Linked DNA regions of Coturnix japonica. The protein of the gene in region 1 purifies or fractionates together with the protein of each later gene. This does not show direct contact. Links are inferred from orthologs where the notes say so. Each region holds a gene or a part of one and is shown on either strand. Other genes may lie near its edges.

Region 1 (4,387 bases):
CACTATTCTGAAAAACCTCAGGGAATTATTGGGGGTGGGTGGGAATCTACTGCCCATTCAGCTGCTACAACAAAACCGTGTGGGCACCTCTTCAAATATCTGCAGAGAACGACAAGGACAGGCACTACAAAGGCCCCATTCCCCATTCTCTTCAAGCATTTGTAGTCAGAAGGAGCCCTGAAGCAGCAGGAGTAACCTGGGCTCACAGAAAGCCTATATTTCAGTTTAAATTGAGATTTTCCTCTGCACATAAATTGAATGGCTTGTGTATTTTCTCTCACATACTCCAGCCCAGAAACCACTACTATACAGTCAATTACACTAACACAGACCCAGAACCAGCAGAGATGGAAATTCAGACCCAGAGGTGAGAGATGGAAGGAAGCACCCGTGCCTTCAAACCCCAGATGGATCAGCTAAATGCTGCAGGTACGTTCCTTTAGCTTGTAAACTGAGAAACCATTCAGGGAAGCACTCCTTTGAGCAAAAAGGCATGCACGCTTTGATTTGAATATATAACCCGTGTTCATACAACCTAAACAAAAATTGCAAAAGACTGATTACAAATCACGTAATAAGCGCTACTCAACTTGCACCAACAGCTTATTGCACAAAAATGCCATTACTACTGAAATCATTACTCTGCATGTATTACTTACACATCTCCTTTTTCAGCTGGAGTTCCAGACACTTATTTGCCACATTCAAAGATGTCTCTTAAAAACAAAATATCTGTGCATGTGCAAAGAACATCATCAGCACACAATGAGAAAACACCTCTTTGTGTTCTCCTCCAAATGCTTTGGAAAAGGTGGGATCGTTCATTTTCCTTTTTCTGGCAATATTTCTTAGGGGAAGCAACTCTCAGGCAATCACAAACAAACAAACAAAGCCCAGCTATCGCACTTCAGAACAAAAACACAAGCAAAAAAAGTTTTAGAAGAAGAAAGGGCAAGATACTCCTGCCACACACTGCACACCACACATCGTCTGCGGGGAGCTTTATTTCCAGCTCTTTGTCACTAACCACACAGACGGAGACCAATACATAAGATCACTGGCGGTATGGGAATTTGATTAAACTCGTTAATCCCACCACATCTCTGAGGCCATCCACAATGCCTAAGGTTTACCACGATTTTCTCATGCTAGGAGCATCAAGTCCATGCCTGTTTACTGGAATTTGGACTGTCACTCTGAGCCAGCATCTCCAACTTTCCCTTGTAGACAGCTAAGAGGAGCTGCCCATCTCCTCCTGCAGAACAACCAGCAGAAAGCACAGCAGGGAGGAGCAGAGGGTGTCCCACCCACATCCTGCGAGACACCAACACCAGCAGATGTCCCAGATGCACCCCAGGTGAGGAAGACTGAGACAACTGCCCCGGCTTTCTGTTCCCAGTGCAGGGTCTGGCACACACCAGTGGGGATTTGTCCGTGTGCCCACATCACTCATGTCATTGCAGCCATCACTGTCTTTCCAATTGGGAAAGTCTACATGAATTGCACAGTAAGCACGCGTTGGAAGGGGAACTTTATGGCTTGCTGGCTGTCAGGCACAAAGCCTTGTAAAACACTGCTTTAAAGCAGTTAATACAACAGCCCCATGGACAACAGCCCAACATGCGGTGTAGTCATTTCATTCTGTCCACCTCAGTGCATTTTGGCATTGACACACCTGGAGATGTCAATGTATCCGAACACAGCCAACCTCCCCCAGTGGCACCGCACAGCCTCAGACAGTCCCCAACCCAAAATGAGCTGGAGACTCTAAACACCCAACTACAACAAGCACAACTTTAGAGACAGATGCAGTGACTTAGAGAAATGGGTTTACATTGAGAGAACACCGACACACCTTCAGCTACGGCCAACTACACTTTCACAACCACTCCGCCATCCCAACGCACAATTCCAATGGGCTGCCCGCCACTCCTGCTTATTATTATTACCCCGAGCAGCGAGGAACACGCTCTGCTCCACCAGGCTGGTGCCAGCTCCCAGCACACCCAGAATAGCCCACAAATAGCCCGTGCCACATGAGGAGCGCTGCCACTTCACACCTCGCCACGCGTTGCGGCCGTGCTCGGCATCTCCCCGTAGCCCTGAGCCAGCGGTGAAGGAGGGAAGTGGAGTGAGCCCAATGTGCACCCCAATGAGCGGGGGTGGGAGCAAGGGGGTGGGCACGGCGGTGGGACAGGGCCCATGCCTACACACATATGCGTGTACACATACGGGTACGTAAGTACTGCGTGTATATATAGGCATATATATATATATACACACGTATGTATGCGTATAGACAGACGATACGTACACCCAGAGGACCACTTGCGCTCCCCCCGTTACGCAACGCGTGGTTCCCCTCGCAGCGCTCCCGCACCGCAGCCCCGCGCAACAGCTGCTCGAGGCCGAGGAGGGGTGGAGAAGGAGGAGGAGGAGGAGGAGAGGAGGAAGGCTCCCGCCCGCCGCCGCCCCACTCACCTCGCCGCGCCTCCGCTCAACTTTGGGGGTCGCCGCTGTCGCTGAGCTGCGGCCGATGGGGATCGGGGAAAGGAGTGCTGCTGCTGCTGCTGCCGCCTGTTGTTATTGTTATTGTGTTTGGAAATTGTTGTTAACCGCTCTCTCTCTCTCTCTCTTGCGGTCACCGACCTACAACGCGGCCCACCCCGTTAAATACCGGGGGGGTGGGGGGAGGTTAATTAAAAAAAAAAAAAAAAAAAAAAAAAAAAAAAAAAGCCGCGACCCGAAGGCTCATCACATGGCGCTCGCTTTGAAGCAGCTGCTCCCTGAGCCGGAGCCGTGAGGGGGAAAAAATAAAAGGGGGGAAGGGAGGAGGAGGAAAGGAGGGGGCTGGCGGGGGCCGGAGGAGGAGAGAAAGCCGCAGCGGAGAGAAGAGGAGGAGGAGGAGGAGAAGGGAAGGGGGGAGCGGCGCTGCCGGAGCGGCACCGGGGCCGGCGGCGGGGGCAGCCCGGGGCCGCTCGGCCCGGCCCGGCACGGCGCGGGCGGAAACGGCGGCGGAGGAGGAGGAGGAGGCGGCGCTGGTGCTGCTGCTGCTCCGCGGCCGCTGCTGCCCCGCTCTGCCGCTGCCCGCGCCCCGCCGCCAAGCGCGCCCCGGCCCGGCGCCGCCCCCGCCCCTCAATCGCTACATTGTTGACATTCGCCAGGCTGACATCATCCTCCCCGCCCCGCTCCATTCACAACAACGCTACGCCAACAGCGCAGCGCGCCCTCCTTCGCCCGCCTCGCTCTCTACGCACGGAAACATGCGTACGGCCGCTCCGCGAATAGCGGCGACGAGGACGCCCCGCCTCCCCCTTGCTGCCCAGGAGGGGGGCGGCGCATGCGCTCGGCTGGCTCGCTCCCCCCGGGCTGTGTGTGTATGTGTGTGTATATGTGTATATGCGGTGTTACAGCCGGACTCCGACGGCCGCGAGGGGCTGTGGGAGCCGTAGTCCACCACGAGGGGCCGTTGGGGCGGCCGCCATGGCCGTGGGGGTCCGCTGTTTAGAGCTTCGTGCCCGGCTCCCGGAGCCGGCGGGCACCGGGGATGGAGTCGGGGGGTTCGGGCCGGCTGAGTGGTTTGGAGGGAGGGCGAGGAACCCACCCGGCCGGCCCCGGCTGTCTCGGAGCCCCGCTGTTGATCCTGGTGATATTTTACGCGCTCCGCCCCTTGAGAAACCTCATCCTCCAGCTCTTGCCAACCGCAAGCGTCCAACAGTCATGAGTCAGCCCTGCCAAACATCATAGAGGAATAGATAAGTGCTCCCGAGATTAAAAACAAAAACAAACGCCCGTGAGGCCGTCCCGACGCGGGGTGCTGCCTGCTGCTGAGTCTCGGCAGCGAGGCCGTAGTGTCAGCAAACGCCGATAAAGAACGATGCTGACCCGCAGCTAAACGCGAGCACGTTTGGTAATTAACGCGTGCCTGTTTACTGTTTCGTAGCCGTTGATACATGTATCCATCCCGGTTTTCCCCCTTTACTACGCTGTGCTTTCCATGTTCTTCTCGGGGCAAGGAGTAGTTCTTGTGTTGAACTGAACTTCGGATCTCACCGCTGCATTTTTCCAAGTCAACTTAATTACAGAAAACTGTGCAAAGAGACCATGTCGACACAAAATCAGCTCTGTGCATGTGATGTCAGACATGCCCTCACTTTTCAAAAGCAACACTCTCCCCTAGTTTGCATTTTGAATGGTTGTCTGCTCGTGTAAAGCAAGAAGCATTCTGGTTTAGCAGCATGTTACCCCTGTGTTTTGTAGCTGCGTGTGGCAGCAGATTGATGTCCTGCTGGAGAATCTGACTGATAAACTTCAGTTTCCCTCTGCAAGCGATGCTGGTGCAAAGCCTTGCTCACAAGTGCACGTAGGTTCTGGTTCTGCAGACATA
Region 2 (4,245 bases), on another chromosome or scaffold:
TGACCTGCTCTGAGCACACAGCAGTGGGGCTGACCCACAGCTCCCCCAGAGGCCCCTTTTGTCCCCTTGTTTTTCACCCATTGCACTCTCTGCCACGTGCTCACACTCTCCTGTTAAGCAGTGTGTGTCTGTGCACGCTCCCAGCCAGGTTTGCACTCTCAGGAGATCAGAGCTGCTGGTTGTTTGCTGTCGAAGGCCACTTCAGTCTAAAGGTCAGCAGCAAAAGACAACAGACCTTTGGAGCTGAGCTGCTCTCTTCTGGAATGGAAACAAAAACCCAGATCTGTTGTGAATGGCCAATTTGCTGAATTTCAGCCACCCCCCTTTACCAAGCCACACACAATATGTTCATCCTTGCAAAGCCAGGGGAGAATGTCCCACTTTGGCTCTCAGCAGTGGGTGAGACCACATGTAAGAGCCACCACCTGAGAGAAGTCCTGGATGCAAACAGGGCCCTTGTGGCTGTTCCACCACCTGCAGAGGGTGGGTAGCAGCACTGGGGACACTGTTGGCCATAGGGCTCCTGTCCTTCGTTGGGCTCTGTGAGCTGGAGAGTGAGATGAGGATGCAAAACACACGCAGAGCCCAGCAGGGAGCACAGGGCTGGCTCAGACCTGTCCTTGAACCCTGAGCCCAGCACGGCTCAGCCAGCGGGCCAGATTTAAAGCAGAGTCTGCAAACACAGGAGGGGTGAAGTCAGCAGTACTGCAGCTCCTGCTTCAACCTTAGTCTGAGTGCAGCCCTCAGCTATTGGAGGAGGTTTGGCCCCGAGGCTGCAAAGCACAGACTGCAAAGAGCCGGCGCTGGCTTCGCAATGCAGCCATAAATAGCCCCGCACATAAACGCAACAGGAGTCCGGTTTCGATGGGGGTTGCTGGGTTGGCTCAACCTGCGCTGACCTGGCACTGCAGGAGGGTCGGGCCGTGGTGGGTGTTTCCCTTGGCAGCACTGATGCAACACCCGCTGCCCAGAGCTCAGGTGGCGGGCGCGGGACTTCGGGGCGCGCCGGCGGGAGGTTGTGTGGGCGTGGCCTGGTGACGTCACCCATTTTCCCGCCCCTTCCCCAGCCATGAATGAACCTCGTGGGCGGGGCCGGCGGTGACGCGCGCGTTCGGGGCGCGGCGTGGCGGGGCGTGGCGGCGGTGACGCGCGCGGTGACGCGCCGTGCCGGAAGCGGCGGGGGCGCTGGTTGGTCGGCGGAGCGGCCGGGGGGGAGGGGGCCGCCCCGCGCTTGTTGTTGTCCGCGGGACCTGGCGCTCAGGGAGGCACCGAGCCCCAGCAGCGCCCCCCGCCGCCGCCCCCCGCCCCACGACGCCGCCGCCGCCCCCCCACGACACGGGCGCGCGCGCGCTCCCGCCGACACGCAGGTGAGCACCGGGCGCGGGCACGGCGGGGGGGGGGGGCGGGGGGGTGGGGGGGGGCCGCGCGGTTCTGCCTCCGCCAACACTATAGAGATCGGGGAGGAGGGAGAGGAGGTTCAGGGGGGGGTTGGAGGTGTTGTGAGGATGGGGGAACCGGCGCGGTGCCGTTCGGGTGGGGTCGAACCCGAGCGGAAAGTGCTGAGTCACCACCGCGCCGGCACGTGGGGCCGCCGCCCCGCGCAGCACCGGGCCCGGCGGCACGTGGCGCCGTTCTACACCCCCCACCTTCCCCGAAAGAAAGTTGCCGCGAGTCGGGGCTGCTGCTCCGTGCTGCCTTTGGAGCTCAGAGCGAGGCGTAAAATAGAGCGGGGTCAACCTGTTGTTGGTTGGAAATACCGCGCAGTGCCGCGCATGGAGGCTCAGAGCGCGACCCGGCCCACGGCCACGCGCGGCGCTGCTTCCTGCGGGGAGCGATGGGGGCAGCGCCGTGTCCCGCCGCCTCCTCGTGTTGAGCCGCCGTCGCGCGGGACGGCCGGGGGTTTTGTTATGATGGTGATGAGTGTCGTTATTGCTCGGAAACGGGGCTGCGGGAAAAGCCGTTCCGAGCTCCTCGTGGAGGTGGGGAAGGTCAGAGCCGGAGAGCGGCGTGGGGACAGCGGGGAGAGGAACCGAGAGCGGAGCTGCAGGACGGCCGCCCTCCTCCCGCTGCTCTCCCGCGGGGCTGTCCCAGAGCTGCACCAAAAGCAGGCCACCAGGTCCCGAATTGGGAACGGGCCCGTTGGGCAGCGCTGTCACAGAAAGCTACAGGGCCTTTCTATTGCTGTCACCTGCCTTCTGAGTTCCAACAGCCCCGAGCAGGGCTGGGAACGGGCACAGCCGTCGGGAGGGATGTGCTGGAAGGCAGCTCCGTGCCATCGCTGATACCCCAGCACTCACAGCATTCATTACCTGGCCGTGTCTGCGCTCAGCGCTGCGTGTTGCTGCTTTTCCCCTCTCCTTCCGCGTCCCCCAGCGCAGCGCAGCGCAGCTCCTTCCCCGCGCAGTCACTTCCTCGCTGTGATGGACGCCGCTGCTGCCCAATGGCGCCGCGAAGAGCCGGCAGGCAGCGGAGTTAACTCTGCCGGCACCTAACGGGGAGCTGGCCGCTAATTAATTGTCCCTGCGGTCACCGCGAGGATGGGGCACGGCGGCTGTCCGTAGCTGGAGGCTCAGCTTGGCACGGTGCGTGTCTGTACCTATGGTTGGTGCAGGTTCACACCCGGCCTCGGAGGTGTTTTCTGAGCCAGGCGACCGATCGTCAGCATTTTCCTCTCCCCTCGTTGTGGTTTGTTGTGTTTCATCCCGTTCTCGTGCTCTCTCAGCAATCTGTTGCAGCTCACGGTTCGCTCGGTGCTGTGTGCAATCCGAAAGGGAAAGCTCAGAGCAGCACAATACACCCCGTGTGCGTCCGTGTTGGGAAGCGATTAATGGCGTGGAATGAGCGGGGTGAGAGCGGGCAGCACAGTGAGGCTGTGACTGTGTTTGGGCAGCAGGAGGGGACAGCTGGGAGCTCTGGCGCTGGGGGGCTGTGTGCTGAGCTGGCCGTGCTGTAAACATCCAGCTGTGAAGTGCTCGAGAGGCGAGAGTGCTTTCAGCTCTCAGGAAGTCTCCGGCTCAGCACCCTGTCGAGATGAGCCGGCAGTTTCCACTTGTCTGAGCTATTGTTTCAGGCTATCTTCAAACCCCAGCACTGAGCCTTCCAAGCATGAAGCAAGCACAAAGCCATGCAGCTCCATGGCCATAAACACGAGGGCTGGGGGAGAGGCAGGAGCCGTCCCACTGCTGCTGAGCTCTGGAGCAGTGGGATAGCAGGCGTAGCAAAGCCCTGCTCTGCGGTGCTGCAGGACCTGAATGCCACTGCTGTGCAGCAGCTGAAGGTGTCCGACCTGCTGGCTGGCAATGGCATGGGGACACTGGGGATCCTGACCTGTCCTTGCATTGCTCTGTGTATGGGTGAGCTGGCTGCTGCTCGCAGGCGCAGCTTGCCTGGACTAGTGATGCTCAGATGTGATTGTAGTGTAGCTCTACCCCCTGTACGTGCATGATGGAAAAAGTGCTGCATCCTGTGGTCAATGAGCACCACCTCTGTCTGTCCTGTACCTGTCCCCTTTGGCCACCTGCTCCCCAAGGTCCCATTTGTGATGTGGTGCAATGTGCCCTCCTGGTGCTCTGCTCGCTGACCGCAGGCTCTGCAGCATCTGACGAGGCTGTTTACCCAACCACCAAGGGCTGTCTGATCTCCGTCCAGGCTTCCCCAGAGAGCGCCTCATAGAGCCGTGTTCTGGCAGCTCTCGCCTTTGCTCTGAAGGTTCGTGAAGCTCCTCTCTGCTGCTGGATGCTGGTTCCGATCCATAAGGGAAATGGAAAGCTGGCCAGCTGGGCGAGGGCTGTGCGGAGCTCCTCTAGAACGGTAAACAGTGACTCACCCCTCCTTGTGTCTTCTCTCTGTTCATGTCAAATACGTTGCCTTACATATGCTCCTGCTCTCTGATTCACACCGGGAGCGCAGCCCTCCCCTCTCTCCTTACAAATGAATGACAAGTGTCAGTCTGTCCTATGGAATGTGAATGCTGTCAGAGTAGGGAAAGGGTTCATAGAATCAGAGTTGCTCAGGTTGGAAAAGACCTTAAAGATCATTGAGTCCAACCACAGCCCAACCACACCACCATGTCTCTAATAACCCTCCACTAAATTGTGTCCCTGAGCACCACGTCCAAATGCTTTTTAAACACATCAGGGATGGTGACTCAGCCACCTCCCTGGGCAGCTCATTCCGGTGCTTAACAGCCCCTTCTGTAAAGAAGTTTTTCCTGATATCCAACATAAACTTACCCTGGTGTAACTT

What was found.
Region 2: the proteins of BACH2 (region 1) and MAFK purify together in Homo sapiens (co-immunoprecipitation; 3 studies listed by BioGRID and IntAct, with this or other methods). This does not show direct contact. The link is inferred for Coturnix japonica from reciprocal best matches to the Homo sapiens genes BACH2 and MAFK.

What each region holds. Positions count from the first base shown.
Region 1 is NC_029518.1:68,534,305-68,538,691, reverse strand, and holds the start of BACH2 (transcription regulator protein BACH2), read right to left. Parts: upstream 2,955-4,387; 5' UTR 2,482-2,954; intron 1-2,481. UniProt on the Homo sapiens protein: Transcriptional regulator that acts as a repressor or activator. Binds to Maf recognition elements (MARE). Plays an important role in coordinating transcription activation and repression by MAFK.
Region 2 is NC_029529.1:2,690,877-2,695,121, forward strand, and holds the start of MAFK (transcription factor MafK), read left to right. Parts: upstream 1-1,212; 5' UTR 1,213-1,367; intron 1,368-2,309; exon of another isoform or gene 2,310-2,844; intron 2,845-4,245. Other genes in the region: lysosomal alpha-glucosidase, read right to left, coding at 900-1,048. UniProt on the Homo sapiens protein: Since they lack a putative transactivation domain, the small Mafs behave as transcriptional repressors when they dimerize among themselves.